Schizosaccharomyces pombe: one gene and its partners. The gene in region 1 interacts genetically with each later gene. Each region holds a gene or a part of one and is shown on either strand. Other genes may lie near its edges. The genes, in order: sap114, sst6, adg2 and hrd302.

Evidence for each region.
Region 2: mutations in sap114 (region 1) and sst6 together harm fitness more than expected from each alone (negative genetic interaction), as found in Schizosaccharomyces pombe (one large-scale study listed by BioGRID).
Region 3: mutations in sap114 (region 1) and adg2 together harm fitness more than expected from each alone (negative genetic interaction), as found in Schizosaccharomyces pombe (one large-scale study listed by BioGRID).
Region 4: mutations in sap114 (region 1) and hrd302 together harm fitness less than expected from each alone (positive genetic interaction), as found in Schizosaccharomyces pombe (one large-scale study listed by BioGRID).

What each region holds. Positions count from the first base shown.
Region 1 is NC_003424.3:1,170,571-1,177,729, reverse strand, and holds sap114 (U2 snRNP-associated protein Sap114), read left to right. Parts: upstream 1-3,281; 5' UTR 3,282-3,574; coding exon 3,575-3,701; intron 3,702-3,750; coding exon 3,751-4,057; intron 4,058-4,120; coding exon 4,121-4,437; intron 4,438-4,522; coding exon 4,523-4,897; intron 4,898-4,940; coding exon 4,941-5,260; 3' UTR 5,261-5,379; downstream 5,380-7,159. Other genes in the region: dihydroxyacetone kinase Dak1, read right to left, coding at 1-665; ept1 (CDP-alcohol phosphatidyltransferase class-I family protein), read right to left, coding at 1,949-2,972, 3,023-3,159; cardiolipin synthase/ hydrolase fusion protein Crd1, read left to right, coding at 5,604-5,731, 5,774-5,830, 5,874-6,368, 6,460-7,159. UniProt on the Schizosaccharomyces pombe protein: Involved in pre-mRNA splicing. May be involved in endoplasmic reticulum-associated protein degradation (ERAD) and required for growth at low and high temperatures.
Region 2 is NC_003424.3:4,773,936-4,780,978, forward strand, and holds sst6 (ESCRT I complex subunit Vps23), read left to right. Parts: upstream 1-1,753; 5' UTR 1,754-1,902; coding exon 1,903-1,959; exon of another isoform or gene 1,960-1,998; coding exon 1,999-3,405; 3' UTR 3,406-3,503; downstream 3,504-7,043. Other genes in the region: met14 (adenylyl-sulfate kinase), read left to right, coding at 1-325, 432-571; SPOM_SPAC1782.12C (uncharacterized protein), read right to left, coding at 751-999, 1,056-1,132, 1,229-1,259; protein mug162, read right to left, coding at 3,504-3,563, 3,602-4,021, 4,074-4,212, 4,319-4,494; SPOM_SPAC11H11.03C (uncharacterized protein), read right to left, coding at 5,246-5,549, 5,588-5,732, 6,088-6,250, 6,306-6,314; pheromone p-factor receptor Mam2, read left to right, coding at 6,753-7,043. UniProt on the Schizosaccharomyces pombe protein: Component of the ESCRT-I complex, a regulator of vesicular trafficking process. Binds to ubiquitinated cargo proteins and is required for the sorting of endocytic ubiquitinated cargos into multivesicular bodies (MVBs).
Region 3 is NC_003424.3:4,077,837-4,086,071, forward strand, and holds adg2 (protein adg2), read right to left. Parts: upstream 3,321-8,235; 5' UTR 3,115-3,320; coding exon 1,102-3,114; 3' UTR 553-1,101; downstream 1-552. Other genes in the region: ted1 (phosphoprotein phosphatase), read right to left, coding at 3,647-4,939; apt1 (adenine phosphoribosyltransferase), read left to right, coding at 5,850-5,933, 6,112-6,594; alpha mannosidase Mnl1, read right to left, coding at 7,184-8,235.
Region 4 is NC_003424.3:4,944,042-4,951,819, forward strand, and holds hrd302 (protein Hrd302), read right to left. Parts: upstream 4,492-7,778; 5' UTR 4,044-4,491; coding exon 2,049-4,043; downstream 1-2,048. Other genes in the region: noc202 (Noc2-Noc3 complex subunit), read right to left, coding at 187-1,773; SPOM_SPAC1B3.20 (uncharacterized protein), read left to right, coding at 4,575-4,717, 4,762-4,855; GTPase Ypt4, read right to left, coding at 5,229-5,833, 5,882-5,981; DNA-directed RNA polymerase subunit Rpb10, read right to left, coding at 6,599-6,624, 6,688-6,841, 7,158-7,193; U3 snoRNP-associated protein Nan1, read left to right, coding at 7,391-7,524, 7,696-7,778.

The DNA of each region.
Region 1 (7,159 bases):
TTGTGAATACCCATTCCAAGTTCCATTTCATCATGTTTCATTTCATCTTCTTTTGCAATTGGCTCATGACCAGGGACGTGAACGTGAGCGAGTGAAGCACCGATACTAACCAAATTGTCAATAGCAGCCTTAGCAATGGTCGTAACGGCTTCCAAAGGTAACCCTCTGGCGGCAGCTGCACCAGCGATTTTGTGAACAAGAACAGTACCAGACAAACCACGACGTCCGACCTTACCGCTCTTCTTACGACCTACTGATACGTCATCTGCAACGGCAATAAGTTCAGCCTTCTTACCAGCCGTTCTTTGCTTCTCCAAGGCCATACCAAAGTGAAGGATGTCACCGGTGTAGTTTTTGCAAATTACCAAGGTGCCAGCCTCAGATTCGACTTGCTTAATACCGGTATAAATTTGCTTTGACGAAGGAGAAGCAAAAATGGAGCCTGAGACGGCGGCAGTAAGCATACCCTTGCCCACGAACGAAGAATGAGTGGGTTCATGACCAGCACCACCGCCGGAAATGACACTGACATTCTTTTTGTTGTAGTCATGGAAATAGATGAATTTTCCCTCTTCATGAACAGTTAAAGTTTTGTTCATGTCGGCCAAGGATTTAAGGCCATCAAGGACGAGGACTTCAGGATCGTTGATAAAGTGCTTATCCATATTTTAGAATAATAAGAAAAAGGTAAAAAAAAGAGAATAAAGCCTTAAAATAAAATTAAATATAAGTTGGATAGTTAAATCAAATATTCCCGAAATTTATGATCTAAGAATATAAAATGACTTGTTTTAGGTGGTGGGGAAGTGCAAGTGTGAGTAAAGGATTAAAGAAATAAATCTATGTGTCTCTAAAATCTCAAAATATTAATATCAAAATTCCCTTCAATGCGAAAAAATTAACACTTTATACGCTACTATGCTTCAACTGGTTTAAATACAAAATAAATAAACCAAGAATATACTAGTAAACGTTTCGTTTCGTTACGTTATGTCTCGTTTTCGTTTCGCTATTTCGTAAAAGTTATGAGTGTAGCGGAAAAAGGGAGCTTGAAGACGATTTAATAATGCTGGCCTTGTCTCTCTATATATACTATATAACCACCAATTTGCATGACGAAGTGCCCCGCACGTAACGGAAGTGATATTATGCTGAAACAGTGAATAAACACATCTAGATAACCGTAGAACCGTTTTTCATACCCTTCAACTAATTACGAAATGTTGCCGATATGAACAATTAAATTAAATATCAGCTTGCCTTGCCGAAGATGACCTCAATCCATTTTCCTAGTCAAAGAAAAATTTCGCTGACCTTTTGTAGATCATATGCTAGAAAAGTAGTAAAATCGCAGCGTAAACTTGAGTCACCTTTATGTAGCAAAAGATTGCCTTAAAAGGGCAAACTCTACCAATGCCCAAAGAAGCAATGGGACAGGACGATGGCTATTTATTGAAATTGTTAAATCGTTACGAACTGCCATAAGAACCTTAATTAAAAGAAGGTTGTCGAAAAGTGCTCCGGTCTGCACATGTGGAACCAGTCATCTTAGTTAGTGCAGCCCCGGTATTCCACGGTGAAAAGCAAGTTTGCAGTGTAGAAGACAAATGGACCATTTGTTCATCAGTATATACAGTTAGTTAAAAGGATACGAAAGGCTGGATCATTTAGTGAACGAAGTCGCAAGTGAAATACTTGTTCATTATTATGTTCTGGTAAAAAAACCAACTTTTATTACTACAGCAGGAAAACAAACAAAAGTAACATATTGTTGGCAGAAAACACACAACCGAAAAAAACCTGTCTACTAGGAAATGGATCATTTTGATACTTCTGATCCGTTAGATACATTGCAGAACAAAAGATCGACCGAAAGGTTATCAATGACAAAATCTCTCTGGACCCTTTTGTTCTCATCTCTATTCTGTCCAAACCATCATCATCTAGTTCAATTCTTCTTGGACTCTGGTTTGGATGGAATAGTCAAACATTTAATGCCGTACTCTTCCGTAATCATGGCAATGACATGTGCAACAAAGTTGCCGTAAACACCAATGCAAATTCCAACGTAGCAAAAAAAGTATTCCGTCTGAACGTTTTTTAATACGCCAAAAGTATAGGCGTCCACGGCATCCACCAAGAATGGAAGAATAAGCACATTCCAGTATGGGAAGGGAGATTCGGTAATGTGAGAAACAATTACCACTCCAACCGAATAAGCAAAGATAAAAGCGTTCAAGCAAAAAATAGTGAGGAAATGATGTTCAAAGAAAGCAGGATACTTGGCATAGAGTGAAAAGACAGCCATCCATTGGAGGAAATAGGGAAGGATACCACTCAATGCTTTAATCACACTTCCGTTGTTCTTTTGGACGGCTTGAAGAGCATTTCGTAAACTTTGTAAGACATTCAATAGCAGGGCAAATGCCATAAAGTTGTACAAGCATGATCCATATGTGTAGTATGGCAGAAAGGAACGTACAAATCCCCATGACTCGGGAGTGGGATGTAGCTTGAGCCAGAAAGAATCACCCTTAATAGCTGTAAGGGCAAATAGTCCAATAACCATTACAATTCCTTCGACAGGACCCGAGAAGTATGAAAGGTACAAAGTACCCGTATGGTATTCTTCCCAAGTAGAGATGTAAAAGTATAATAAGCTGGCAAATTGAGTAAGGATTGAGCTAAACATATCTAGTTGCAGCAGTTCAATCGTCAGTAAAACTTCAAAGCTCGTATTGATGGCGTCTACTCCATGGTCAAATAATTGACCTAATGGAGATGATGTGCCAGTACGACGCGCTTGCGAGCCATCAATAGCGTCAAAACTTTGGTAAAGAAAAAGGCCAATCGCCCAAGAAGCATACACCCATGATGGGAAAGCATCCATCTCATAATGATACTTGTACACAAGCATAGTAAGGATATTGATAACAACGAATCCAAGCCCGATCAAAGTAATCAAATTAGGTCTAAGTAAAGAGTTAGTAAGAATAAGCAAGCAAACGGGTGTAGATCATACGCCATAGACATGGGAATCACCTTCAAAAGTTGATTCCACCAGTACGGCTTCAAAATATATTTTGAAAGAAGTGAGTTATCAATCGCACTATATTTATAGTTATGAAGATTCTTTAACTGCTTCCGGTTTAACTGCATCTTGAGAAACTACCTGGATATCCTTTCCTTATTCTCCGATAAAGTACTGGTAGAGGGTAAACATGTTACGCGTCTTAGTGTGTAGAAATAAAGGCAAAGCAACGAATGCAGATAAACCTTCTACCGATAAATAAATGTATAATGTAGCTTGCAAAAAAACTTGCACTATAACTATCTTTTAAATTCTAAATTGTAAGGATAATTGTTGCTATCAACCGTTTTGATGTTATTTGTCCATCCGCAGTGGATTACGGATGCCCTAGGCAACAACTGTTTAGAGCAGCAAGGTCGCCCTAAACTTTTATAAACTTCTATTGAATTTCAATAGTCCTTTCTTTTCGCTTGTCCATCGCTTCATCTGCCTTGTGCGACAAGTGTCCTTCCACCACTACCTTTTTCTGCATAAGTCTCACATATGAGTTCTTTAATGGAATTCCAAGACAGAAATACGACAAATAATGAAACAGAACACCAAAAAAGCATCACTGATCAAAGTTCATCGGTCCCTGCAGGGGTAATTTTACCTCCTCCAGCAATTCGAGGTGAGTCATAGTAATTAGTACAATAGACGCGCCTGCTAACGTAGCTTAGAAATAATTGATAAATCTGCTAGTTACGTTGCCAGAAATGGCCCAGCTTTTGAAGAAAAAATTCGCCAGAATGAACAGGCAAATACTAAGTTTGCTTTCTTGCATGCTAATGACCCCTACCACCCATATTATCAGCACAAATTAACTGAAGCGAGGGAGGGAAAATTGAAGAGTCATGCCACAGGCTTGTCAACCCAAAAAACATCCACTTTGGCTCGTCCCATTCAAAAACCTATAGAGGCAACTATTCCTGCTCCCTCACCGTACTTGTTTTCAGAACCACTTCCTTCTATTTCATCACTAGATTTGTAAGTATCATCTCAACTATTATTTCCTTCTTCTTTGAAGTTGCTAATTAACCGTGAATCTAGAGACGTGCTCCGTTTAACTGCGCGATATGCGGCAGTTCGTGGTTCTTCTTTCTTAGTGAGTCTTTCTCAAAAAGAGTGGAATAACACTCAATTTGATTTTTTAAAGCCAAATAATGCATTGTACCCTTACTTTATGCGTATAGTTCAACAATATACTTCTCTAATTAGAGAGCCCATTTCTTCGCCAGAACAGGAGCTTCGTGAAAATGTGAGAGACCCTTATAGCTTACTTTCTAAAATTCAGCCGCGTGTAAGGTGGCAATCGCATATGGAGAGCCAAAAGAAAAAACAAAAGGAAGAAGCCGAAAAAGAGAAGTGTAAGTGTATATTGAGATGCAAAAACTGGTTCAGGAAGTCCAATATTCTTCATTTACCATTTGAATTGGAACTAACTTGTCTTAGTGGAATATGCACAAATTGATTGGAACGATTTTGTCGTTGTTGAAGTGATTCAATTCACAAAGTCCGATGAACATGCAAAATTAGCTAAACCTACGAATTTAGCGGATTTACAAACTGCTACTTTAGAACAAAAGTCTGCCATGTTTACCATGCCTGACCAAAATTACACTATTGAGGAAGCTCCTCCTACAGCGGAGCCTTGGGAGCCCATAAGTGCGCCTAAAAAACAAGAATTTGGTGTTTCTCTTCCTCCATCACTTGCTTCTCCAGAAAAAGGAGGTATTTCTTCAACTACTTCAGTTTCTCCTGCCGCACAAGCTTCTCCCGTTTTGTCTACCACTACTCAGCCGAAGGTACAAAAGCCAGTACCAAAGGGTAAGTTTATATTCCTTATTGTAACTTTACTGACCCTGTTTAGCTTTCCAGCCCAAAGTTCCGATGGAGATATCGCCTTTCTCAGGTGAATTGGTTCCCGCTACAGAACTAGAAGAGCATATGCGTCTAAAATTACTTGACCCTCGCTGGCAGGAACAGCGCAAAGTTGAAGAATCTAGGAAATCAACTTTAAATTTAGAGAACGTGAACGTTGCTGCAAATATGAAAAGATTGGTTAGTCAACGGACTGATTTGTTTGACGTCCAAAACGGGGTAGAAATCTCTCAAGAGGAAATCGAACGAAGAAAACGTGCTGCTACTCAGAGCGCTTGGGGAGCAACTCCCACAAATAAACGCCGGTAGATTTCATAGAACTTTTTTTAATTTTGTTAATTTTTACTTTATTTTATTTAAGCTTCGTAGGACGCCGAAATCTATTAGTTAATTTGCTTCTACAACTCGTGAAATAAATAAGATGTAAATAAACCAGGTGTTGTAGACTTTCTCCAACTAATTGAGAATACAAATATTCTTTATTATAAAAAGTCCAATACACTAAACAAAGCTGGATTTTAACTTAGGAAATGCGGGTCTGGTTTTCATACCCGCCCACCGTCATCCTTAAGTTGTCATACCACGTAACCGCACAAACCTCTTAATTTTTTACTTCTTACATTGTTGATTCTTCATTTATCGGCTTTAATAAATGCTACATACTATCAATTATAGATCTTGGCATTTGGCTGCCAGGCAGTTAGGGCGTTCAACGTTTCGAAAGTTTACGACCGAATCGTCTACTAAAAGCCCTATTGCAGATGTTTGTTTCGCATTTGAGTAATACAGTAATTAATGATCGATTTTTGAAACTAACCAAAGCAGTATTGATGGAGTTTTAATTAGAGGAGGAAGAGGTTTGAAAGAAGGAACGAAGACGTAAGCTTAACTATGAACTACCATTTTCAAACTAACTTGTAAGTTTGAAATTTTTGCAAAAAAATAATATACCTTTTATTCTGTTAACGAATGGAGGTGGTATGCATGAGAGTGTTAGAGCTCAGCGTCTTTCCAAGACATTGAGCGTAAGTTTAACAGAGGATGATTTTTGTCAATCACATACCCCCTTTCGCGCTCTTGCGGATAAGTATAAGCACGTCTTGGTTCTTGGAGGAAAAGACAACAGCGTCCGTGAAACTGCTGAAAAGTATGGGTTTAAAAGTGTTATCAATGAACTCGATGTCATCGCAAAGTTAGGAACTCCATTTTGGCCTTTCACATCTTTTAACGAAGAAGATATTAAAGATGCAAAAGACTTTGACGTTACTAGACCCATTGAAGCAGTTTTCACTTATGTCGATCCTGTCCGACTTGGTTTGGATCTTCAATTGGTGATGGAATTGGGCCAGTCGAAGAATGGTGTTTTAGGAACAGTTTCGAAGACAGCAAATGAAGGTCCCGATATTTACTTTTCTAAGTAAGTTATTTCTTGGAAAGTATCTTTTGTGTAAAAATATTTTTGCAAGCTGTACTCGAATACTATGAGTGAATGCTAACAGCTTTTATAGTGCGGATTTAATTTGGCCTAATGAGTATCCTCTTCCCCGCTTAGGTCAAGGAGCTTTTGCAATTTGCTGTGAAAGTGTTTTTAAAGAACTTACTGGAAAGGACTTAAGAAATACGAAATATGGAAAACCTCATAAGCTGACTTATGATTATGCTAAAAACATTTTAATGAAGAAGCATAAAACTTTAGGAATCACCAATCCTCCCAAGGAAATTTTCATGGTTGGTGATAACCCCGAAAGTGATATTCGTGGTGCGAATAATTACGGTTGGACTAGTATTTTAGTACGTACTGGTATCTTCCAAGGAGACAATAGCCCTAAATATTCTGCGAAGCACGTTTCTGATAATGTATGGGAAGGTGTGCGCTGGGCTCTATCCAAACACGTTCCTGCTGCCAAATTGAACAAGTCAATGGGCGAGGTTCGTGGATTTCACACCTCTTCTCGTGTTTTAAACACTGTGACAAAAAGTAATAACAGTAAGCCTATTCAAAGGCCTTTGCGTGAGAATATTTTTACCTTGCCAAACTTGCTGACATTCTCAAGGCTCCTTTCAGCTCCATTAATTGCTTATCTTTACATTTATGATTATACTAAAGCTGCTGCTTGCTTTTTTTTATATGCTGGATTTACGGATTTGGTTGATGGGTATATAGCTCGAAAGTTTGATTTAGGCAGCATTGCTGGGACAGTACTTGAT
Region 2 (7,043 bases), 3.6 Mb from region 1:
TTACTTCAGCGTGGAGTTACAACTTACCGTTTGGATGGTGATAATGTTCGTTTCGGCTTAAACAGTGATCTTGGATTTAGTGAACAAGATCGTAACGAAAACATTCGTCGCATAGGTCATGTTGCCAAGCTTTTCGCAGATGCCTGTGTAGTTGCAGTAACTTCCTTCATTTCTCCTTATCGCAAGGATCGTGATCAAGCACGCGAATTTCATAAAAAAGATGGACTTCCTTTTATTGAGGTTTATGTTGAATGTCCAGTGGAAGTTGCCGAGCAGCGTGATCCAAAGGGTTTGTACAAGCGTGCTCGTGCTGGTGAGATTAAAGGTAGGTAATTGTTACACATTAAAGATACTTTTTCCCCTCAGGAAATTCCATTTTCTCAATGTTTTTAAATAGATGACCCTATAAAATTAAGGCTAACCGGTTTTAGAATTTACAGGAATTTCTGCTCCCTATGAGGCTCCCATTTCTCCTGAAATCGTGGTTTCTTCTCATACTCAATCGATTGAAGAGTGTGTTGAAAAAATCGTCAATTACTTGTTGGAAAAGGATTTGATTACTTTGAAGTAAACACGTTAACTCATCTTAAATACTTGTATTCCCCTTATATCCTTTCTCTCTTTTTTGTTCGCTTACTTGGGACCCAATAAAATCATAACATATTCTTTATCTGCTAGTATTTTAGAAACGACATCATTAATACTTGCGTCTGTACTGGTAAAACAAAAAGCATCTAAATTAAAGCTCTCTTAAACTAGCATTGTAGCCCACCCTGTAAGCATCACTAGTCCTCCAATTGGTGTCAAGGGCCCAAGAATTCGTCGCAGACTATGTCCTTTAGGCAATAAACAAAGTCCATAAATTGTCCCAGAAAACAAGCAGCTTCCTGTAATCAGCAGGGGTCCCGTCCAACGAGATTTCCCGTAAACTGGATGCAAAGAAACGGCCATGGTTGCCAATGAATGGAACATCAAGTAAGTACAAGCAGTGGACCATGACTATAATTTTATGTTAAAATAGTTACAATCATGAAATAAAAATGCATAAATCCTACCTTCAATAAATGTGGATCCTGAACACGTTTTTGCAACCCGTGAGATCCATATGCACCTAAACCTACGCTGAGCAGTCCTTTTTTATTGTTAGATAACGTAAAATAGGTTGTTTAACAAAAAGTAAATGTATATAAAGGTTATATACCAGTCTATTACTTGTGCTAGAACCTACCTGTCAATGCAGCTACGTTCCAAATTGTCATTATTGATAAACAAATATCAGATAATTCTTTCAATAAAAATGCAAACTGCTCGGTTTATTGCCGTAATTAACCTTTCAATAGTCTTGCAATTGTAGTATTGCTGGTGTTAAAAGAGAAGTGGAATACGTATGTGAGAACAATGATCCTCAATTATAGTTGCTACCTTAGTTTATATTTATGGATACGACACATTTCCAAAATATTGAATAAGAAATCTGAGCGTATTGGTACTTTGTGAATTTTTCATAACTGCTCCTATCAGTCTATAAATTCATATCCTAATATTATATACTATCAGATCGTCAATTTCAGAAATTGAGTATGTAGCACTTAAAATAAACTTGGCGTTAATGTTAATATGGCATCAATTGAAAATAATCTTGAGTATCGTTACCTGTTTTATCGCTTGATATAACGATATATTGTAATATTATACAGTTTATTTAAAAAAGAGATGCAGCATTGACGTTATTTATTACAACGATAAAATGCGTAAAGAAAACGACCATCTGTTCAAAATCAATTTCACAAGTGGTGCTTGCAATTAATAGGTTTTCGAAAACCAGCTAACTTTATTTGATTTCTTTAAATCCTATAAGATTTAATCACGTGCTTGCATAAGTGCGCCTCGTTTCTTTTTACCATGTCAGATCATGCAATCAATGAACACCCTTCACGAATTTTGAATACAATTGAAAAGGTACCGCTTGTTTTTTTACCAATTTAACCTGAAAAATAGATTAGATTTTGGAAGAATGGACTTGCTGAAGAACTAGAATTATTGTTTAGAAAACAATGTGAAGACACGTTTACACTTCAAGCAATTAATATTGAAGTAGATACGCAAGACGAAAACAAAATAGAAGAGGTCCGCATTTATTTGAGTACTCCAGCATTTGACAAAACAATTTTAACCTCGGCTTGTATAACGGTTCGCTCTTATTATCCATCACAGCCGCCAATAGTACAATTATTGGATGAAAAAGGAGGAAAGCATAAGTACACAAGTCTTCTACTACAACTTTGGAAAAATGAACGGTCTGTTTTTAATATCTATCGTTTAGTTCAAGCTCTAATAAAGCAAGACTTTGAAAGAGAACATACTTCTCCTCCTGAACTGCCGACAAAACTCGTTAATACTATTGAAAAGCTCAAAGTGAAAGAAGAAAATGAAGCTCCTCCTGTTATCCCTGCTAAACCATTCTCATCTTCCTCTGAACAACATTTCCGAAAGGTGCCTGCGTTACCTTCCAAACTACCGCCTAAGCCTTTAAAAATTACCGCTAATAGTTCCTTAGGACAAGAAACAAATTCCAATTCTTCCTCTTTTCAAAGTACGCTTTTTTCTCTGAATACAGCACCTTTTTCAGCTACATCACAACAGCTTGTTCACGATTCTGTTTCATTGAGGCGACCAAGTTCTAACATTCCTGCCCAAAAACCTATTCCACCAAAACCTGAACAAAATGAGATAATAATTACCAAAGACACGCCTTCACTTAAAGACAAATATTCAAAGCCTGCTCTGTTACCGCAAAAACCCAAAGTTTCTAAAGGTCAGATCGTTCAACAAGTTTCAGTGTTCTCGACAGGAAAAAAAATTGAGTCCCAAAGTTTGCTCAACCTTATAGATACAGATATTGAAACCCCTTTAAAAGGTTCGTCTGAGCTACTGTATTCAGAAGACTTTAAGCCCAATGTTGACCCTGTGAAAATTCAGCAAATTCTACATAAACAGAACAAAATTATTGAAGAAAAATGGATTTCACAAATACGAATATCTAAAAACTTAGAGGTTAAGCAAAGGCTTTTGGATCAAGAAAGACACGCTTTAGAAACACTTGCTAAAAATATTGAAAACAATAGATTCATCTTAGGAAAAAGAAGGAGAAAAGCCAGAGAAGCCCTACAGAAGTTGGACAATTTAAAAGACTTATCTGTTCAAGAACTATTTATAATACCCTCCGAACGAGAACTAAAATATTATGAACTTAAACGTAAGGACGAAAAACTGGATGAAGGAATTCGAGCCCTGAATCAGGCCTTGCATCATGAATCAATCATGCCCGCATCTTGGTTAAAGGGAATAAAGCTGTTAGCTAGACAACAATTTTTAATACGGGACGAAATGCTTCAATACTCTTAAGATTATAGTGATGTGAATTTCAGTGTCGACATTTTTAGGAATATATGGACAAGATAAATATTATTCTTTTATTTATTTTTTTGTAAAAAATATCTCCATTACCAGTAATTTCGATAATCATCGTCCTCATAACTTAGGTTTTTAAAATTTTTCTTTTCCTAGAAAGGTTAGATTGGATAACATAATTTTTGCTTACAATTGCATAAATCCATATACTAGGGAAAATAATTAAACAGGAAGTTAATAAATTGAAGTAAGAAATAAGTGGTTTTGCTGTAATTAATGAACCCGTATTTAAAAGAAGTACGGATAATCCTGCAAGAAATCCTAGTACAAAATCCTTGGAGTCAATCAACTTAATCCAAATATACAAATTAATAACCCATAATGCAAATAAATGATAGGACAAATGTACTCTGCCAAGTAAAGGAAGCATGTATTCAGAAAACTTAAGAAACAGCAGAACATTAAGTATGAAGTGCAGTTTGATAGGAATTTCAATTATGCTGATTATTGTCCAATTTTTATTTTTTAAAGATAGAGATTTAATTGACCTTATATTAAAATAGCAAGCAGCGGAAAAGCTTATGAAAGCGAGTTCCATGCAACCAACTCTCTACAATCATTAATTAAGAATTCTCCAGAAAATTTAATAAATAAATACATACATCAAAAGAATACCCAAAAAATTCCATCATCAAGCCATAAAACATAAGGCTGGAAACTTGGAACACAGAATTTTGAACGGCAGAGTATTCGTTTGCCGAACCCGCTGTAAATATGCAATCTGCACAAAGAACTGTTCCCCTGATTGAAATAGTTAGAACTTCTTCATGTTAAGATTCTCATGAATCTCAATTAGTTAAAAAATACGCCGGAAGAAAGAAATTCCTTCCGACATAAAATAAGATACCTAATGTATATCCATAGAGATGGAGAAAATGACCATAAGCTAGGATTTACTAATTGTAAAGTTTTTAAGTTCCAAGTTCCTATGTAGCCTAACAATATAATAAGAATATCGAAGAAAATGACAATACGCAAATTATTCAAAGCTGTGAGTCTTTGTTTATAGACTTCATCATCCATGATTGCGGAAGCAATTTAAATATTGTCAAATTAAAATATATTCATTCGACAATTATTTTCAGCAAATAAGCTTGAAAATTGTAGCTGTATTTAATATATGTCAAGGCAAGGCAATTTTGTGGTAAATAATTCGAGCAAAGAATTGCGAGCTTACGTACAGTAGAGGTACTGACTATTTACGATTAGTACTACCCTCTCTATCAGCTTAAAGAATAATAAAAAAAAATATATATATATATAATTCAGTTGAATGTACTAGTCATTGTTTACGAAATTTTATCGAACCTAAATTTATTATTATTATTATGTGTAAACAATTTTCAAATTTATGTAACCGTTTAATGAAATTGATATAATCAGTTGTTAAAATTAATGAACAACAATAAACAAAATTTAAATAAATTAAATTATACAAAACTTTTAGTAGGCAATATAATGCTAGATTTATTATCTTTAAAATAATAATAAAAATGAATTTTTTACAAAAAGCAGAGAAAACCTATTAAAAAAATATTCCTATAAAATAATCTATTAAAAAAAGTTTCAATATTTATTTGAAATAAAAAAAAAATCCTAAGGTTGCAACAAGCAAAAAAATCTAGAGCCTAAATTACCCAATAAATACAATAATGACCGAATCGAAATAAAAGATTAATACACAGACACCTGGCTAATAATTTCACCGCCTAAAATTTTGTTGACCCAATTTGGTATCCATGGTCGCCTGTGTTAACAAGCAAAAAACAAACTGTTACATGATGGCACAACATGTTTTTAGACGAGGAAAACAATTCGTAGCAATTTCTTCAACAATTTTTTCAGGCTCAACTTGATCAGTCAAAGTTGAATGTTGAGGACGAGAATATGCTTCTTGAGGTTCTTGAATGCAATTGAAATTTGGTTGAATAGGTGAAGTCGCAGATGGTAAATAAACATAAATGCGGCCTTCATTTACTTCACTGTTGTATTTTATAGATTGCTGCTCAAGCATTCGCACAATTGCAGGTCGTAGTTTTTCCACATGATTAGCACTGTGATTACCGCGCCCAACTATACTAAAAAAGAGTTAATTTTAATTAAGCGTAAAACATACATATGTAAATGATTGTCACCACGTCGGATGCAATTCTCAATTCGCTGTTGTACTGCTTGTACAGCTTCATCGATGTACAGACCATGTAAATCAATTTCATCGGGATTGCATTGAGAGTTTTTATATAAATAAATGGCTGAAGCCGCTATCAATAATTAGCACAGTCATAAAACACTTCTATTTTGTTTTCTCGAAGCCAATATGGGTTTGAAGAAACCCAGTGTTTTAAGTTCTATAAAGAAGCCAACCCATTTTTCTCTTAAATCACATGGCTTTATTCAGCTGTTTCAGAGCTCTTCACTTTGTACAAAGAATAGTTCATTGTCATAACTACTATTGTTTGGCGTATTGTCTGACCGATAACTACCGGAATTAGATACCAAACAAAAAGAGTGGAAAAGAAAGAAAGAAAAATCTCATGATGGGTTTGTTTTTCTATTATTGAAAGTTTATAGGGTTTGAACTAACAATCACAGCTTTTAATGAGAATTTGAGATTACCTTGTCGATTATAATTTTCCATACGCTCTCCACATAACTTTCCTTCTTGGCTTAGTTCATGCGCTTTAGCCTTGTTTCCTGCTGAATAGGCATGCTGAGCTTCTTGAAATAAATACCCTCGTTTTTCAGCCTCTTTTGACGCCAACGCTCTAAACTTTTCATACTTCAATAAAGTTAGTTACACCTAATTTCTCCTTATCTCTTTGATTAATAATTACCTCCTCCATTTCTATTGTTTCAGGTGTGGTACTAGACAATGAAGTTAACAATAGGAAATCTGAACAATGGAGTACCACAAAAAATGTTATATAATTCAGCTAGATCTCTGACAAAGATGAAAAATAATTTTTAAGAACTGTCTAAACAATAGTAAATCCTTTTGTTTTTTGTTTCGAATCTGTTTAAACTACAATTTTGCAATTGTTCGAACAGCATTCCATTGGTGTGTTTTGAGTCCATATATTTGGAAATTTGCTGTATATCTTCAAGCGAAAATTTAACTTTTGAGACATAGAAGTGTTTTCTGGAAATTCTAAACAAAGAGGAATTATTGGCATAACAGTTCATTGGGAAACTGAGTCATCAAGTGCTTTACAAATCACATTTTTAAACTTCTTAAACTAAAAAAATCTCGGGTTTATATTGTTCTTGCTCCCTCTGACATTATGAGACAACCATGGTGGAAAGACTTTACTATTCCCGATGCATCCGCAATTATTCACCAAAATATTACCATTGTCTCTATTGTAGGAGAGATTGAAGTGCCAGTTTCAACAATTGATGCATATGAAAGAGATAGACTTTTAACTGGAATGACTTTGTCTGCCCAACTTGCTTTAGGAGTCCTTACCATTTTGATGGTTTGTCTATTGTCATCATCCGAAAAACGAAAACACCCAGTTTTTGTTTTTAATTCGGCAAGTATTGTTGCAATGTGTCTTCGGGCCATTTTGAAT
Region 3 (8,235 bases), 2.9 Mb from region 1:
GAAAGCTGGTAATGGAAGAGTGTAGATTTGTGGGGTGGGCGAGTATATTTAGCGGCTGGTGATTAGGAAGCGCAAACGAGTACGATTTTACTCAGTACGTAATACGTTCCCTAATAACAACAAAAAATGATTTAAATATTCAAGCTTTCAAAATATATTTTTTTTATAATAAAAAAATCATTTGATAAAATGTCGGACTGTTCTCTTCCAAAAAGTTGTACTTTTGAACTTTTTTTTATGATATGTAAATAAACAAACATTCGTAAAATTATATTTTTGCTCGCCCTTAAAATAACCCCATATTCTAATCTCATATCGTCTTATAACATTACAGAAAGCTTATGCATAACGATTGCGAACAACCTAATCTGGAAGAGCTTCCATTATTACATTGGTCTGTTCTTCAAATATAAAGGAATGGTAAAACGTTCAACGTTTTTATTTCAATTAACATATACAGCCAGTTCTTAAATGTAACAAACCCTATCAGGATAGTAAAAAAAACTAAATAAATAATCTGTAATATAAAATGATATGTAGACCGTATGAAACCTTTTAAGACAAATAGCGGTTAGCTATTTGGCGTAAAATATAAAAATAAACGGAAATCTCTTCTAAACTAAAGTAAAGACTAACGGTATAATTGGGTATGTATAAGATGAAAAAGAAAGACCTTTGAAAATATCGAATCAATCGATCATAAACGCAAATCAAAAAGCCTTTCAAGTGCAGCAGCTTTCGAACTATCGTTTAACAGATAAACACGAATGCTTTTTACGTTTGTTGTTTTTGAATAGCGGGTTATCGAAGAATTTATATTTTTGAAATAACCCTTGACAACAAACATGTGTATGCACGTAAAATGATTTATTTGGGAAATGAAAAGCAAGGGACATGAATGTTTTTTTATCGAAATTTTCGACAAATGAAAATAGATGCATGGTAAATAGGAAAATAAAATGAAATCAAACAAGCCGAATAATGTATGAGAAATAAAAATGTGAGCCGAAGTGCACTTCTCGAGTGAAACGCTGCTAACGGGTAAAGGAGCATCCCAGACGAAATATTAATACTAGAGAACCAGTCCCCGTCAAATTAAGTCTAGAATAAAAACAATAAAGGGATAAAAACACAAAGCAATGAGATGCGTTGCAAGCTAGTGCTGCTTCCTGCACTAGGCGGCAAACTCATAGAGCTACTCCTGCTTGAAGAGGAATGAGCAGAAGATGAATGGACAGAGGAAGAGCTTAAATGAGAAGTAGTCATAGAAAGAGTGCTACTAGGATAGGTCGAAGTGATACTCGCCGATGAGCTTCCACTCTCAGAGACAGTAGAAGTGGTGGAAACAGTAGAGATAGTCTCCTCGGGACGGGAACTACATGTGGTAGTAGTCATAGTAGTAGTAGTCTCTTCGGGAGACGTAGTGTAAGTAACCTGGGTGGTGGTAGTTGTTTCTTCATTAGATGAGCTACTAAGAGCCGAAGTACCAGAAAATGAGGATGTAGGAGAAGGAGAACTAGAGAAGGAGGAAACAGATCCACTGGTACTTACGGTAGTAGGAACAATAATACTGCTGTTAGAATAATAGGGTGAAGAACTAGTAGCGGTTGCTGAGCCAGTGCCAGTACCAGTAAATGTAACGGTGGTGTTTGAAGCAGTCAGAGTAGTAGTGTATGAGCTATTGCTAGACGTGAAAGAAGAAACACTTGATGGTGCACTGGTAGGGATAACACTACTGTTAGAATAGAATGGTGGGGAGCTGGTAAACGTTGCCGAACCAGTACCAGTACCAGTAAATGTAACGGTGGTGTTTGAAGCAGTCAGAGTAGTAGTGTATGAGCTATTGCTAGACGTGAAAGAAGAAACACTTGATGGTACACTGGTAGGGATAACACTACTGTTAGAATAGAATGGTGGGGAGCTGGTAAACGTTGCTGAACCAGTACCAGTACCAGTGTATGTGATAGAAGTGTTTGAAGCAGTCAGCGTAGTAGTGTATGAGCTATTGCTAGACGTGAAAGAAGAAACGCTTGATGGTACACTGGTAGGGATGACACTACTGTTAGAATAGAATGGTGGGGAGCTGGTAAACGTTGCCGAACCAGTACCAGTACCAGTGTATGTGACAGAAGTGTTTGAAGCAGTCAGCGTAGTAGTGTATGAGCTGCTGCTGGAGGTGAAAGAAGAAACACTTGATGGTACACTGGTAGGGATGACACTACTGTTGGAATAGAATGGTGATGAGGAAACAGTTGCCGAACCAGTGGTAGTGGTACTTCCAGTAGTAGTAAGGTTAGTACTATAGGAAGGAGTGAAGCTACTGAGACTAGAAGAAGAGACTGTAACGGGTGTGGAAGTCGATGTAATAATAGACGTTGGCAAAACAGATGATGAAGACAGGCTGGCAGACGATATAACACTGGAAGGTAAGAAACTAGATGTGTTATAATAAGGAGAGCCTGTAGTAGTAGTAAACGATGAAGAGCTGGGAATCATAGACGTGTTTGTAATGGTGCTAAACGAAGAAGTGCTCGACGCTGGCGGAGGTAAGGTTACAATGTCGGTCGATGTGCCTGTCGAGACACTAACGTCTGTAGAGTATGGAAAACTAGAAGTAGCAGATGAATAAATGGTAGAATTCGCTGTCACAGTTATAGCAGTGCTTGGAATAGAAGTGCTAGCAGAAGCATGACCACTGTTGGTTTGTGAACTAGTGAAGGTAGTCATGCTTTGAAAAGTACTACCAGTAGTAGAAGAGATACCTTCGCCGCCAACAATATAAAAAGTACCAGATTGGGCGTAAATAACAGAGTCGTCGCGAATAGACGTAAAACTAATTTGGTAGCCATAACCTGGCGAAAGATCTAAAGCAGGAAATGTGGCATTTTCATCAAAAGTATTGATGGTCATTATGTAACGGCTTGTTGGTGGATACTCAACTTCGTTTATTAACCAGACATTAGCCTGCAGGGGATCAGTGCTGACCACACTCCATTCCAAGGGTTCAATATGTCCACTAGTCCAAACGTCTGAAGAAGAAGGAACATTAATTTCCATGCCAGCACAAAGCTTGGCTAAGCTAATTAATAGCCCGCTGATGGTTAATCTTCTCATTTCTCAAATAAATCCCTAGTTCGGCAATTGGCAGTGCACAGGCCTTCAGCAAGACGAATACCCAACTAAAAGTAGATGGTTAAGGAAAGAAAGTAAGCGAGAAAGGCGACTTAATATAGCACTTGGGTTTCTGATATGACCTAAGTGTATTAATGCTCAAAAGTGGGGCAATGCTGGAAACTGTATCGATGTAAACAAAAACAATCGAAAAATTGTGGATTCCAGAGAGACATTTATATTTGCACCTAAATTAGATAACGCATTCTTGGGTCGCGTTACTATGGTAACATTGGTCGACTTTGTGTAAATAAACATCCAGCACTACTGCAAGAAAGTACAAAAATGACGTTAAATGTAATTAAGGCACCACGTTAATTCAATGAATCTGCAGGTTCTTGGTTAAAAACCAGCAGAATGGCTGGTAAAAAAGGTTGGTTTCTCTCAAATTCACCTAAAGGCTGGATATATTGCCTGTTTAAGAGGCTGGTGTAAATATAAAACTGTTCATTTGAACAATTAGTGCACAACAATGTTAGATATGTTGCAATGATATTACCAATAAACGTAAGATGGTAAGTACGCATACCGATATGTGAAGAGCCCACCAAATATAAGATGGTCCTCCGTGACTCAAGGTATAAGTGGCATATATGTCGGAACTGAATTTTGACTGTTTCAATGAAGCCTTCTTCCATCGTTGGCCAATGAGTTTTTGAATCAGAAATGTAACAACCGAGGGTGTGTTCTTGGAGGACTCTGTAAGAACATCATTTGTCGCGATCAGTTTGACAAAACCAATATTTCCTCCAAAGTACCCCATTGCGCTGGGTAATGTATGTTCGATGGCACCGTTCGGGTGTTCGTAGTCACAACCCATATGATCATGGCCAGAAAGGACCAATTTGATGCTAGGAATCAATTCAAAAATTTTCATAGTAGTATTATACGATAAATGATTTTGAGACTTGACCCGAAAATCCAATTGACGAACGATTCTCGGTTCGTCAACACACACATTAGCTGGTTTGTAGAGTGGCACATGGGTGAACAGTATGGTTGGAATAGACGGCTCTAAAGCAATGTCGAAAAGAAATTGCCAAGCATCCCTAGCTTCTTTTGAAAGAGCAAGTATACCTAATGATGAAAAACTTTTACTGTTAATAATATCGCTAGGGTTCGCATCGTAAAACTGAACATCATCAAGCGAAAGGCTATTTATGCCGATCACACGGACAGGAAATTTAGAAACATTGAAGTGCGAAACCCAATTTACCGGGCCCATAGCTTGTTCCCATTTGCTAATTTGTGCGTCTGAACTTTCGCAGCCATAGCCAATGTCATGATTACCCGCAATCGTCCAAACGGGAATGTTACCGTTTTCAAAAGTACGTGCTGGTAAACTGGAGTTTCCTACTTGCCAAAAGTTTTTTGCCCCAGTGATTTTTTTCAGTCTTTTAGCTCTTTTGTTGAATTCTTCGTTATCCAAGTGCTGAAAACTGACCAAGTCACCCAACAGAATCATCGCATCTGGTTGACCCCAAAACTGATTCATATGTACAAGGTGTCGTAAAAACAAATCATTCCCCCAAAGATCTAAAGTGCCTTTAAAAAATCCATTTGCTTCGATTTTATGATTCCCTTCAATCTGAGGATCAGCAACCCCCATAATAACAAAAGAATTTTCATCTTCGAGTTGCAGCTTTCTTGGCATTATGCCAAATAGTAGAGGATAGGCATAGTAGACAGCTAAAAAAACTAGGCAAAGATAATGTAAAATAGACAGTTGTTTGTTCAACCATAATAAATTCGGATGTCTTGCAAACATTATTGACTTAATTATGTCAACGTAAATTAAAAAAGGGAACGGAGAGAAGGAGCGATTTTTGGAGTGCCTATTTTTACTTAGGAGCAGACTAAACGAGTAATGTAGAGGCGTAAGATTTTGGTTTTTGCTTTACTTACTAGATTATATAAATGGTATACCACCATAAAAGTGTCAATAAAGCTTTTTAGAAAGATTTGCTTTCAAATAACAAGAAATGAGCAGAACAGAATAGAAAAACAAAAAGCACAAATGAAACAACAAAACTTATTTTTCTAATCCATGAAGCTAGTAAATGGGTAATTTATAGGTATAGCTGCAGTATTCGAACAAACCCACTGCTAAAATTTAGATTGCAAATCAATGGTCAAATGATTGATTCAAAATTCCTGAAAAAGAAGCTTGGTTCTTAGAAAAATGTGTATCGATGTTTGCCGTTGAAATTTTTTTCTGAATTGAATTAATACCAAGTGTATCAGTATAACTGGCTTAAACAAATTAAAAAATAAGCTTTCTACTGAATGTAATAGCAAAAAACGGCTAATAATCTTGACCGAAGTTTGTTTAATGATGAACAACGGATATGACTGAAATTGCTTGAAGTGTATATCAAACTAAAGAAGGAATACCTCAAAACATGGAGTTGTGGCTGACAGTTTTCACGAAGAAAGGAATGGAAAAGAGCGTCGAATTTCAAACATAAACGTTTCTTTTAGAGCTCGTCTTAGCTGCCAAAGTTAACCCGGTACACTACTTAGTATTAATAGGTGAATTATGACTGACGTTTTTTACATTAAACGGATGGTAACATGTTACTTGAAAACAGCAGTCCAAAATTTTCGCTGCATAGACGGTAACGGAAATTGAGTATTTATTTTTTTTTGTAGAAGTTTTTACATAGCAATTTACTAAAATGTCCGACGATAGAATCAATTACCTTAAGAATAAACTTGTTCAATATCCAGATTTTCCCAAAAAGGGAATCTTGTTTGAAGATGTAAGATTTTATAGAAGGAGGAAATGCGCGAGGTTGGATAGGAACGGTGATATTATTTTGCTCAATTAGCGTGAAGTTTGAATCCAAAATACAATTCGAGAGGTTATATTATCTTTACGCCTTGCAATTGCTTAAATACTCTGTTAAATTATAAACAATAAGATGCTAATGTTATTAGATAATGCCCATTTTTCAAGATCCCAGAGCCTTTGGCATCCTTATCGATCTTTTGCTTGAAGCCGTTGAAACTGAATTCAATAACATTGATGTGATTGTTGGTTTGGAGGCGCGTGGATTTCTTTTTGGACCTACGTTGGCTTTACGTGCAAATTGTGCATTTGTCCCTGTCCGTAAGCCCAACAAGCTTCCCGGTGATTTGGTCGTCGTAAGCTACAATAAGGAATATTCTACTGATTCTTTTGCAATCCAAAAGGGTACTATTAAACCCGGTCAAAGAGTCTTAATAGTTGACGACATTCTTGCTACTGGTGGCACCGCCTTGGCTGCTGATGAACTCGTTACTCGTTTGGGTGGTGAATTAGTTGGACATCTCTTCCTTTTAGAACTTACATTTCTTCAAGGACGTAAGCGTCTTATGGCTCCTACTTATACACTTCTTACTGGACAGGATGAAGCACCTGATGGTAGTGAATTTGCTTAAACTATGAACTCGAAGTATGTATAAGCATTTCTAATTTTTAACGTTATATTTGCTTTATTCCTTTTTTATAAATGTTTAGGGTTCTGGGTTTTTTTCTATGGTTTATTCGTCAAGCTAGGATTTTTTTAGTCTAAGTTGTAAATTGAATAAGTTATACATTTTTCAACTAGTATTCTAAAAAGTAGGATTTTTGTTAGCAAATATATATAAATCGGGTGGAAATCGATATCTTAAAATGAAAAAAAAGAAAAAAGGATGCAACATCATAAGGAGAAAAGCTTATAAGGGTCATAAAGGGTATAATTTTTAGAATGGTCAATACCACGCTTTTCTTTAATATAAATAGGTAGATACATTCAGCTTATTATAAGCCTATTGACGAATCCACGTTATAATATAGCCCTCGATTAAAAGTATAATTACAAGAGAAAGCTGAATTATCCAAATATACTTTTATTAAGTATTGAATGGATAAACATCTATAGGCTTTGAAATCACGCAGCACAAATATTTTTTAAATAGTAAAAAGCATATATGACCGCAAGTCTATACACATGCGTAAATAAAAAATCACAAAACAGCGTTATTCCTAGCTGTTTATGCATTTCAGACACAAATATAGGTTTGAAACTGGAGTTCCTTGGAAGTACGAAGGGGCGTCAAAGTCTGATTGACGCACAGAGACGTTGGCCCATTTAGAAACAAAATTGTTTTCATTTTTTAAGAGAATAGTCGGAGGGATGTATGGTTTAACCCAATTGAATAGACTGTTTTGAGAATGAATATTTTCTAACGGATTAATAAATTCACCATCCGTGATGAGAATTAACAATCCTGCCTTATTGGTATTTTTTGCTTGCTGCACCCATGAGCAGTTGCCAAGTGGAGCAATATATGCTGTATCTTTGTCGAGAGTATCGGAGGGTTTTTGACACATACTGTTATTTAACAAGACTGTCTTAAAAACCTTTGAAGGTAAAGAATTATCGTTGTCAAATTGAAGGAATTTTCCAAACGTTTTTTGACCACTGTTCGGATTTTCTAGCTGAGCAATAGTTCGATCAAAGTACAATGCATCAGGTCTTGTGAAGGTCTCATAATCCGGATCGGTTAGGAAGACCGTGTCATTCTCATTTATAGATTCAGCTCCAGCAGTGTATAAAAACAGAGAATTAGAACCTTCTTTTTGAACGAATTTAAGTTTATTACCGATAATGTCGGATATGTATACATTATTGGTTACACGTTCCACTGATTTTATAGGACTAACAAGTGCACTTCCATAAAGGAGTTCAAAACCATCGGAATACTCTGGCCTCTTGCAAACACCCGATGGATCAATTAGATACGAGGGTATTGCTTTGTTATCAATTCCTACTAAATGAGAGACATAATCGTAATCGTCTCTAGATGCTATCAACGAATATAACATTGGCCATTTAGATCTGTCGTAATCTTCTGCAACACAAACTTCTCCACCGTCGTAAATTCTTTGAGAGGTAGACAGTCGTGTTTGATTTGTCACGGGAAACAAATGACCTTCTGTCGTAAAAATAAAATCATGGTGACTTCTGTGAATGGGATTATCATCGTCAAATAATAGAAACAAATATTTAAGGGTTTCGCTCAAAAAGAAACTTT
Region 4 (7,778 bases), 3.8 Mb from region 1:
CTTATGAATGATTAGAACGTTTATTAATTTAATTAATTCGTCCGTTTTTGATCTCTATAGTAAGTTAACTGAAAATCATGTAGATATACAATGCTTATTTATATCCTTAATCTCCACCAGACAAAAGTGTTTACTTTTTTCGTTTGTACAATAAAAATTTTTTTAAAGTCAATTTAAAGAACCTTCTTAGGTAGTATCACTGACTAGTTTACCCATTGGAGTAGACCTCCAATCCAAGTCCTTCTCGAAAGCTTCTACTTGAGATGTGTCATTGAGAGTAAAATCTACGTTCATCCTTCTGCTTTCAACAAAAGAAAAAGTGCTTTCAAGTTTGTTCAAGAATGTTAAAACATGCTTCCCCGGTGCGGATTCATTTACCAGTCCACGAAGTTGTGCGATTATGGGAGCAGAGAGCTCTGGAAAGGCAATTGAATTGGAAAATATGGCAAAATATTCAGTCATTAGCAAAATGACTTCTTTTCTGACATTGTTACGATAAGATTTTGACAACAAACATTCTTTAGGCACATGAAGAGTAGAATACATGTCAAAGTTATACATTACTTCCTTATCATCAGACAAAGGACTCGATCTCCTAAGAACAAATGGGATCATTTCTAAAAACTGAGAAGACAGGGGGATGTAAAGGCGGGTAGATCTGCAAATATTAACAAGTGACTTTAAAAGATGGAGACGTAATGGGTAATATTGCTCCGTAGGAATTAAACGAATGCAATCCAGCGTCAGGTTTATGGCGATTGGAGAAATTTCTTTGGAGATTGATTCATAATCATTCCATAAAAATGATATAACATGTAACCAAAATCTCAGCGAAAGCGTAAATTGCCAATTGTATATTAATTTGTATGCATCACTGCTTTCAGACTCCTTCAAGCAGCGCTTCAAATGAGCATCCAATTGGGAGAGATAAGCGAAGGCAATTTTTTGATAAAACCGTGAGTTAAGAGAAAGAAGTTCAATCAAGAACAGTTGAAGCTCTTCAAGGGTATCGAAATCGTTAACTTCACTGGGAGAAGACTTAAAAAAGTCCAACAAAGGCGAGTAAAATACTTGAAAAACTGCCACACTCAACGACGAATCAATTTTGCAAATATGATTAACTGCTTTTTGAATATCTTCCCGAGCTTTAGAATGATTAACAAAAATATTACATAGCTGTGTAACCAGACCATTGGGAAATTTAGAAAATTTTTTTATGTGAAGTATAGTATCAAGGGCCGAAGACAAATTTTGATATCCCTTTTTCTCAAAATTAAATTTTGTTAATAAAATCTCGGCATACTCTAAACGAAGGTCCTGAAGAATCTTTGACCTAGCGTCAAAATCCACGTTGTCCAAAGTCTCCTTTAAGTCCTTTTCAACATTTTTCCACAACGCATCTGCTTGATTGGTCCCCGATAATTTCTGACAATATGCAATAGCAGCAAGTAAATCCTTTTCACTCCGTCTTTTTTGAGTAGAAACTTGATTTAAAGAAGCGCCCTTGGAGTTTACATTAAGAACCGAAATATCTTCTGATCCGTCTTTCTCATGCGATGTATTAGAGGTCGTTACATCTGAATATAGTTTAGAAAGATCTTCTTTGTTTTTATTGTTATCATTTGTTCCACTTTCCAGTTTATTTTTTGTATGTGAATTTCGATTTTTTGTGCCGTAAACTTTTTTTGAACGAGCTAACTGCTTTCTCCGCTCGATAGTATTTTTTAGGTGGTTTTTAGTAAACTTTTTTGTAGCCTTGGAAGCTTTACCCATTTCCCCGAGAAAACAAAAACACCAGTTCAATTGCAGATGAACGTAGTAGTAAATTCACTTCGCTGTAAATGTGTGAGAAATTCAGGTTGAGTAACACGGGTAACAGTGCAAGGATTTCTCAAAAATTAGCAGCTTTTATGGTATTTGAAAAGTGAATTGGAATATTTTGACTGTAGGATTAAAAATATGTGCTCCTTCAAGCAGCTGATCATGCATATAACGATAGCTATATTGGCACTTGTGAAGCATATTCATGCGATTTAGATAAAAAATACTTACCGTAAACGAAGTAGTTTCAGTAATTTAATATAAAGTTGGTGAATATTGATCCAAAAAATGGCAACTTTTAAAGGGAAGTAAGAGTTTTGGTTAGAAGATAGCTCATCCAGCAATCGTCTAGCAATATAAATATCTTGATCTCGTCCTATTCCGTATTCGTGCATATATGCCATGTTCCAAAGGCCCATACCGATTGAGCTTTGCTCATAAGCAATTTTGTAACATGTATATGCTTTAGAGTAGTCTTTAGGGGTGCCAATTCCATAGTAGTAATAATCACCCAGTTTAAAAATGGCATCAATATCACCCTGAGCGGCAGCACGAGAGTAAAACTCATACGCAAATTTATCATGAGCAGCCTCCTGCTCAGATTGGGTATAGTTAAAGTAGCGGAATACTGAGTTAATTAGAAACTTATTCTCATCCATCAAATATGCTGCATTAATTTCAGCTAGGGCATATCCCATTTGAGCGGCATATAAGTAATAGACGAAAGAATTATGAAAATATCCATATTCGTCTATTTCTTCTAAAGCTATAGCCATCGAGGTTGCAGAAGCTCGTATTGCTTCCACAAACTTTTTATAGTATAAAGAGGCACTTATCATTGATCGACTAGTTCCAGTTCCATTATAATAACAATCAGCTAAATATTTGTAAGAGATGACACTTTTTTGAGTAGCAGCTCTTAAAAAGAGGTGATACGCCTCTTCATAACGCGCTTCTTCAAGACGAATGAGGCCAAGAAACATAAGTGCATGGGGATTTTCATTCATTACAGCTAAATTTATTAGTCTCATTCCTTTTTCTCGATCAACGCCGTTGGAAGTTAAACCGTGATAAGCCATGTAACCTAAACCGTAATAAGAATTGGAATCGTTTTTCGTTGCACCTCTTTTAAACCACCAGTATGCTTTGTCTATATCGAATAAAGGACCTTTATCAAATAGATGTAAAAGTCCTAAATATCCACAAGATTGAGCGGCCAAGGAAATTATGCTCTGTGGAGTGTTAGCTAACACACTATTTTCTGAAGTGTATGGCCAGTATTGTCTTGAAACCTTGCGAAATAATACATCGGAAACAGTGTAATTCCTTGGATACTTATACATCCCGTGCAGACGTAATTTGGCAACTTCAAACATTAACTCATAATCCCAATCTTCAATTGAATTTGACATTTCACGAAGGTACTGACTCCTAGTATGTAGGGCCTGATAGGCATCAGAATAGGTATAAGCAGAAGCAGCACCGTACACACCCATACCGTTTTCACCGGCAAAATTATAATCCTGAATTTCAGGCCATATACACTTTAAATAGGTTACATTGGAACCACATTCTTCTTCAAATAAGTGGTCAGAAATAAATTTGTAATGCTTCACAGCTTCCTCATCCGATTGAGGCATATTTAAAGCGATTAAATTATGGTACGCCAGAAATTGATGAGCGTCTAAAGAGCCTTGCTTTGCTGCTAACTCCCAATGTATCCTAGCTAATGCTGGGTTGTTAGAGGCATACTCACTAAAACTAGTGGAGTAAAAAAATCCCATCATATTATTAGCAAATGCACTACCATTCGCTTTTTGTAGCATATCATAATACTTGACGGAATCTTCAATTTCGGGAATAATTTCAAAAAGACCAAAAAATTCAATGTTTGCGAGATAAAGCATGGCATCCGTGTTATTATCATGAGATGCGGATCTTAGCAACTCAATTGCATGGTTTCTTTGAATAATAATCTCTTCATACGTTACGTCTTCCTGCTCATAATAATATCTAAGAATTTCCAAAGCCCGCTGAACTCTCACAGATGGAGTTTCTGCGAAATCGTAGTCGCTCAATACCATGGATCCTATGTTGTTGTCTACATATTGTTGTGCATTCACGATACGCAATAAGGTAGACAAAGAAAGCAAAAAAAATGCTATGCTTAAGATTCTTTTCAAAAATAAACTAACGTGAAACGTCAGAACCGAAACCCCCATAATTTAATAATGATATGTACAAGTTAACAATGACAGTTGTAACTGAAAACAGGGCAAATTTACCCGCTTGAGACGAATTTTACAGCAACAAAAGTGTAACGTTTTTATTGATAAATTTACCGGAGCTTTTCTTTCAATGACTTCCAACAACAAACGCGTCTAAACTAACAGTGGAACAATGCAAGTGTAAGTTATCACAAAAGCGAGAAAGGCAAAGCATTCACAAAATATGAAATGCTCAAAATGGGAAAATAAAAGCTTTTGTTATTGTTAGCCCGCACCTTCAAAACAACTATAACAATGTAGGATTGAATGGCGGAATAAATCAGGCAACCATACCAACTTGGAGTAAATCTTCTTGATCTTAAATAACAAAACTTAATTGGTTTTTTTTAAAAAGATTATGAAAAGAGCGAAGACTGCCAATTTATGGATATGTTATGTTGATGTCAGGTTATAAGTTTGACGTGGAACAGACGATGTGAAACCAACGCAGTAATCGTTACTTACCAAGAACCAAACACATAAAAAATGAGTTCTAATTCCAATACAGATCATTCTACTGGTGATAATCGTAGTAAATCTGAAAAACAAACGGACCTAAGGAATGCATTGCGGGAAACCGAAAGTCATGGCATGCCTCCCCTTCGTGGGCCTGCTGGTTTTCCTGTAAAGTATGCTCTCAAAATTTTTTAATATTAATTCTAATACAATATAGTCCTAGACCATTCTCTCATGGGGGCAATGCGAATTTGGATAGATTGAATTTAAAAGAACCCGTTGATTTGGAGGGTCCAAAAGACGAACAATAAAACCCATATGGACTTTACGGACTGAGTAATTGGCCTTATTCGTTTGTAATGAATTGAATCAATTGATGACTTCTATATATGCGCTTCATAAAGCAAAACTTCTATAGTAAATTTACCCTTTTGTAAATGATCCTTATCGGACTTATTTAAAGTGCGATTATTCAAATAAATTATTTAATTCTCTTTGTTAAATGCAGCTCTATACTCTAACATCTTCCTTCAGTAAATATGGTCATAATTATATAGATGTATCAATCATCAAACTGTGTTTAAGTTGAGAAGAGCTTTCGAAATATCATGAAAATATCCTCATAAACTTAAAAATAATACACGTATGATAATTTAATAATAAATAATTGAATAACTGTTTTTTTCAGCAGCAATAGGATCTGGTCTGTCTTTCCAAACGGACCAGGTCGTCCCAATTCGTAATTGAAGTCCACCAATTCGAAGTACTGGAAGGGTGAACCGGTCTACGGAAACTTAAATCACCATATTGTATACCTAAGGATTGATCTTGGGGATCAATTTCACCCAACTCAATCCTAGTTATTATGGTGGAGACAACGGAAAGAAAACACTCTTCAACGTTGCTTCCTGTATAAGAACTAGTTTCATGCGCACTAGATATATGCTTTTCTGAGCAAAACTCAGCTGCCTCTTCAGTAGAGACTTGTCGTTGGTTTTGTAAATCAGATTTGCTACCAGCCAATACAACACATATTGTTGATGGAGCCATAGCTCGAATATCAGACAGCCAAGACGACAATTCTTCAAACGAGTCCTTGTTTGTCACATCATAGACTAAAACAGCACCTGCTGCTCCACGATAGTAATTCCTAGCCACGCTTCGAAACTTTTCCTGACCAGCAGTATCCCATATTTGTAACTTGATTCTTTTTTGCTGGTTTCCCATTCCAACACTTATAATCCGACTTGCGAAATCGATTCCAACAGTATGTGATACTTGATCATCCCCTAATTTCCATTAAAAACTTGAACATTGTTAAATTTGCATGTACTTACATTGATTCTTAACAAATCTCTGTAACAAGCAGGATTTGCCAGTTCCCGAAGGACCTGCAAGTACAATCTTTACCAAATAGTCATATGATTCTTTGTCCATAATAATAAATAGAATTTTTGGCTTTCAATTGTTCTCTTCTTGACATTTCAAGCTCGTAGGCTCCGATATTGGTATGATGCTCTGGATCACGTAGCACTAACAAATGTAGACAACACCAAAAATATTATTTATTAACTTCTGATTAAAATGTTAAGAGGAAAATGAATTTCTAAAGGACGTAATATGCAACTTCACTTGATTGGCAATGAAACTATAACTCTAAGTTCTTGCATCTACATATCTACACCTAAAAATTCAGTTCTGTACTGTAACAAAACTAACCATCCAACATCAGCTTACAGAATGATTATATGAACATAGAGAAAAAAATAAAAAAATAAATGCAAATTGACTATCCTATGTCCAAGCCTCTATTGAACTGTCACAAAGCACACAAGCATATAATCAAAGTCAAAATGTCAGAAGAATCATGAAGAAAAGCCAAAATTTGCGCGTTATTTGGAATCTATGGGTACGAAATGAAAAAGTGAATAATTAAATGATCGGTCGGTGTGCTTGAGCAATGATGTAAAACTAATTGAAATTCTGCAACAATCCAGGCTTCTCGGCCTAATCTCAAGTATAAACCTCACATTCTTTCAAGCGTGGCTAACCGATTAAAGATTCTTTTGTTTTGACAACGCTAAACACTTAGTTAGTTTTGTTCCTAAGTTGTTCGCAGATTAATCATTATGATGAAACTTACGATTATAGCAAAGTAGCTTTTCGATTAAGTCGACATGAGTAAGAATCATACGACGACAACAATAACGTTGAAGGCCAAGTTTATCCAATGCCTCACCCTCTGTGTTATCCTCTTGAAGGAGTGTGAGATAGGTGTCCCACTTGTCACCAATAACCTGCTGTATTAGCAAGCAAATAATTAAAAAAATAATAGATAGAAATTCTTTGAACAAATAGAAATAAGCGTTCGTAATATACAAACATATGTATAATCGCCCCAAAAGTGGATCAGTCCTCGTTGGAATCAGTAGCGAAAATGGGGCTATTTTTAAACTAAATCTAATACCAAAAAAACTATAATCTAATGCTTCAACTTAGGCTAATCTTAAACTATATACAATACACGAAGCAATTGTGAAATTTTTCTACCGATCCATAAAAAATGTGAATCGCGTTCAACCACCTCCTATAAATAGCAATTTGTTTCCTTACCTTTCCACAAGAAAAGCAGCGAATAGGAATGATCATTTTTCTAACTTTGAACACCCGTCGCCTTCTTGACTTTGTTAGTGTTGTTGGCAAAGGGAAGGTAACCGTGCGTATTGGAAGGAGGTGTGTTCGCCAGGAAAAGTTTTATGCTACAACCAAGTATTTGGCTTTAACCAACCACCATTGCGTTTTAATTCCAACCGGTTTTATTATTTTTCGTTGGAGGAATAAAAATTATGGAAGGGCCTAATTCTATGGAAGTTGGTTCATTGGAGGTCAAAAAAAATGATAAAGACCCTTGGTCTAAAACTGCATATTTAGGGGGTCGTTTGGTTTCAAAGATCCCTGCAGTTTACTCTAATGATAACAAGTATGTTTTTTTTTATTAAAGGTTGGGTAGCCTTGAACAGACTGCTTTTGCTCAATTTTCTTAATTGAAATATATAACACGAAATGATCTGTAAGAATTTCATTCCTGTCTGTACTTGCCGCTGCTTTTCTAGTATTTTTCAGTTTTTAAGTTATTTTTACTAATTTTTAGATTTGTATTTCTTACTTATGATACTTTTATTGGAATTTTCTCTTTGATTACAGGAGATTGTATCAATCGAATTTTCTTTCCCA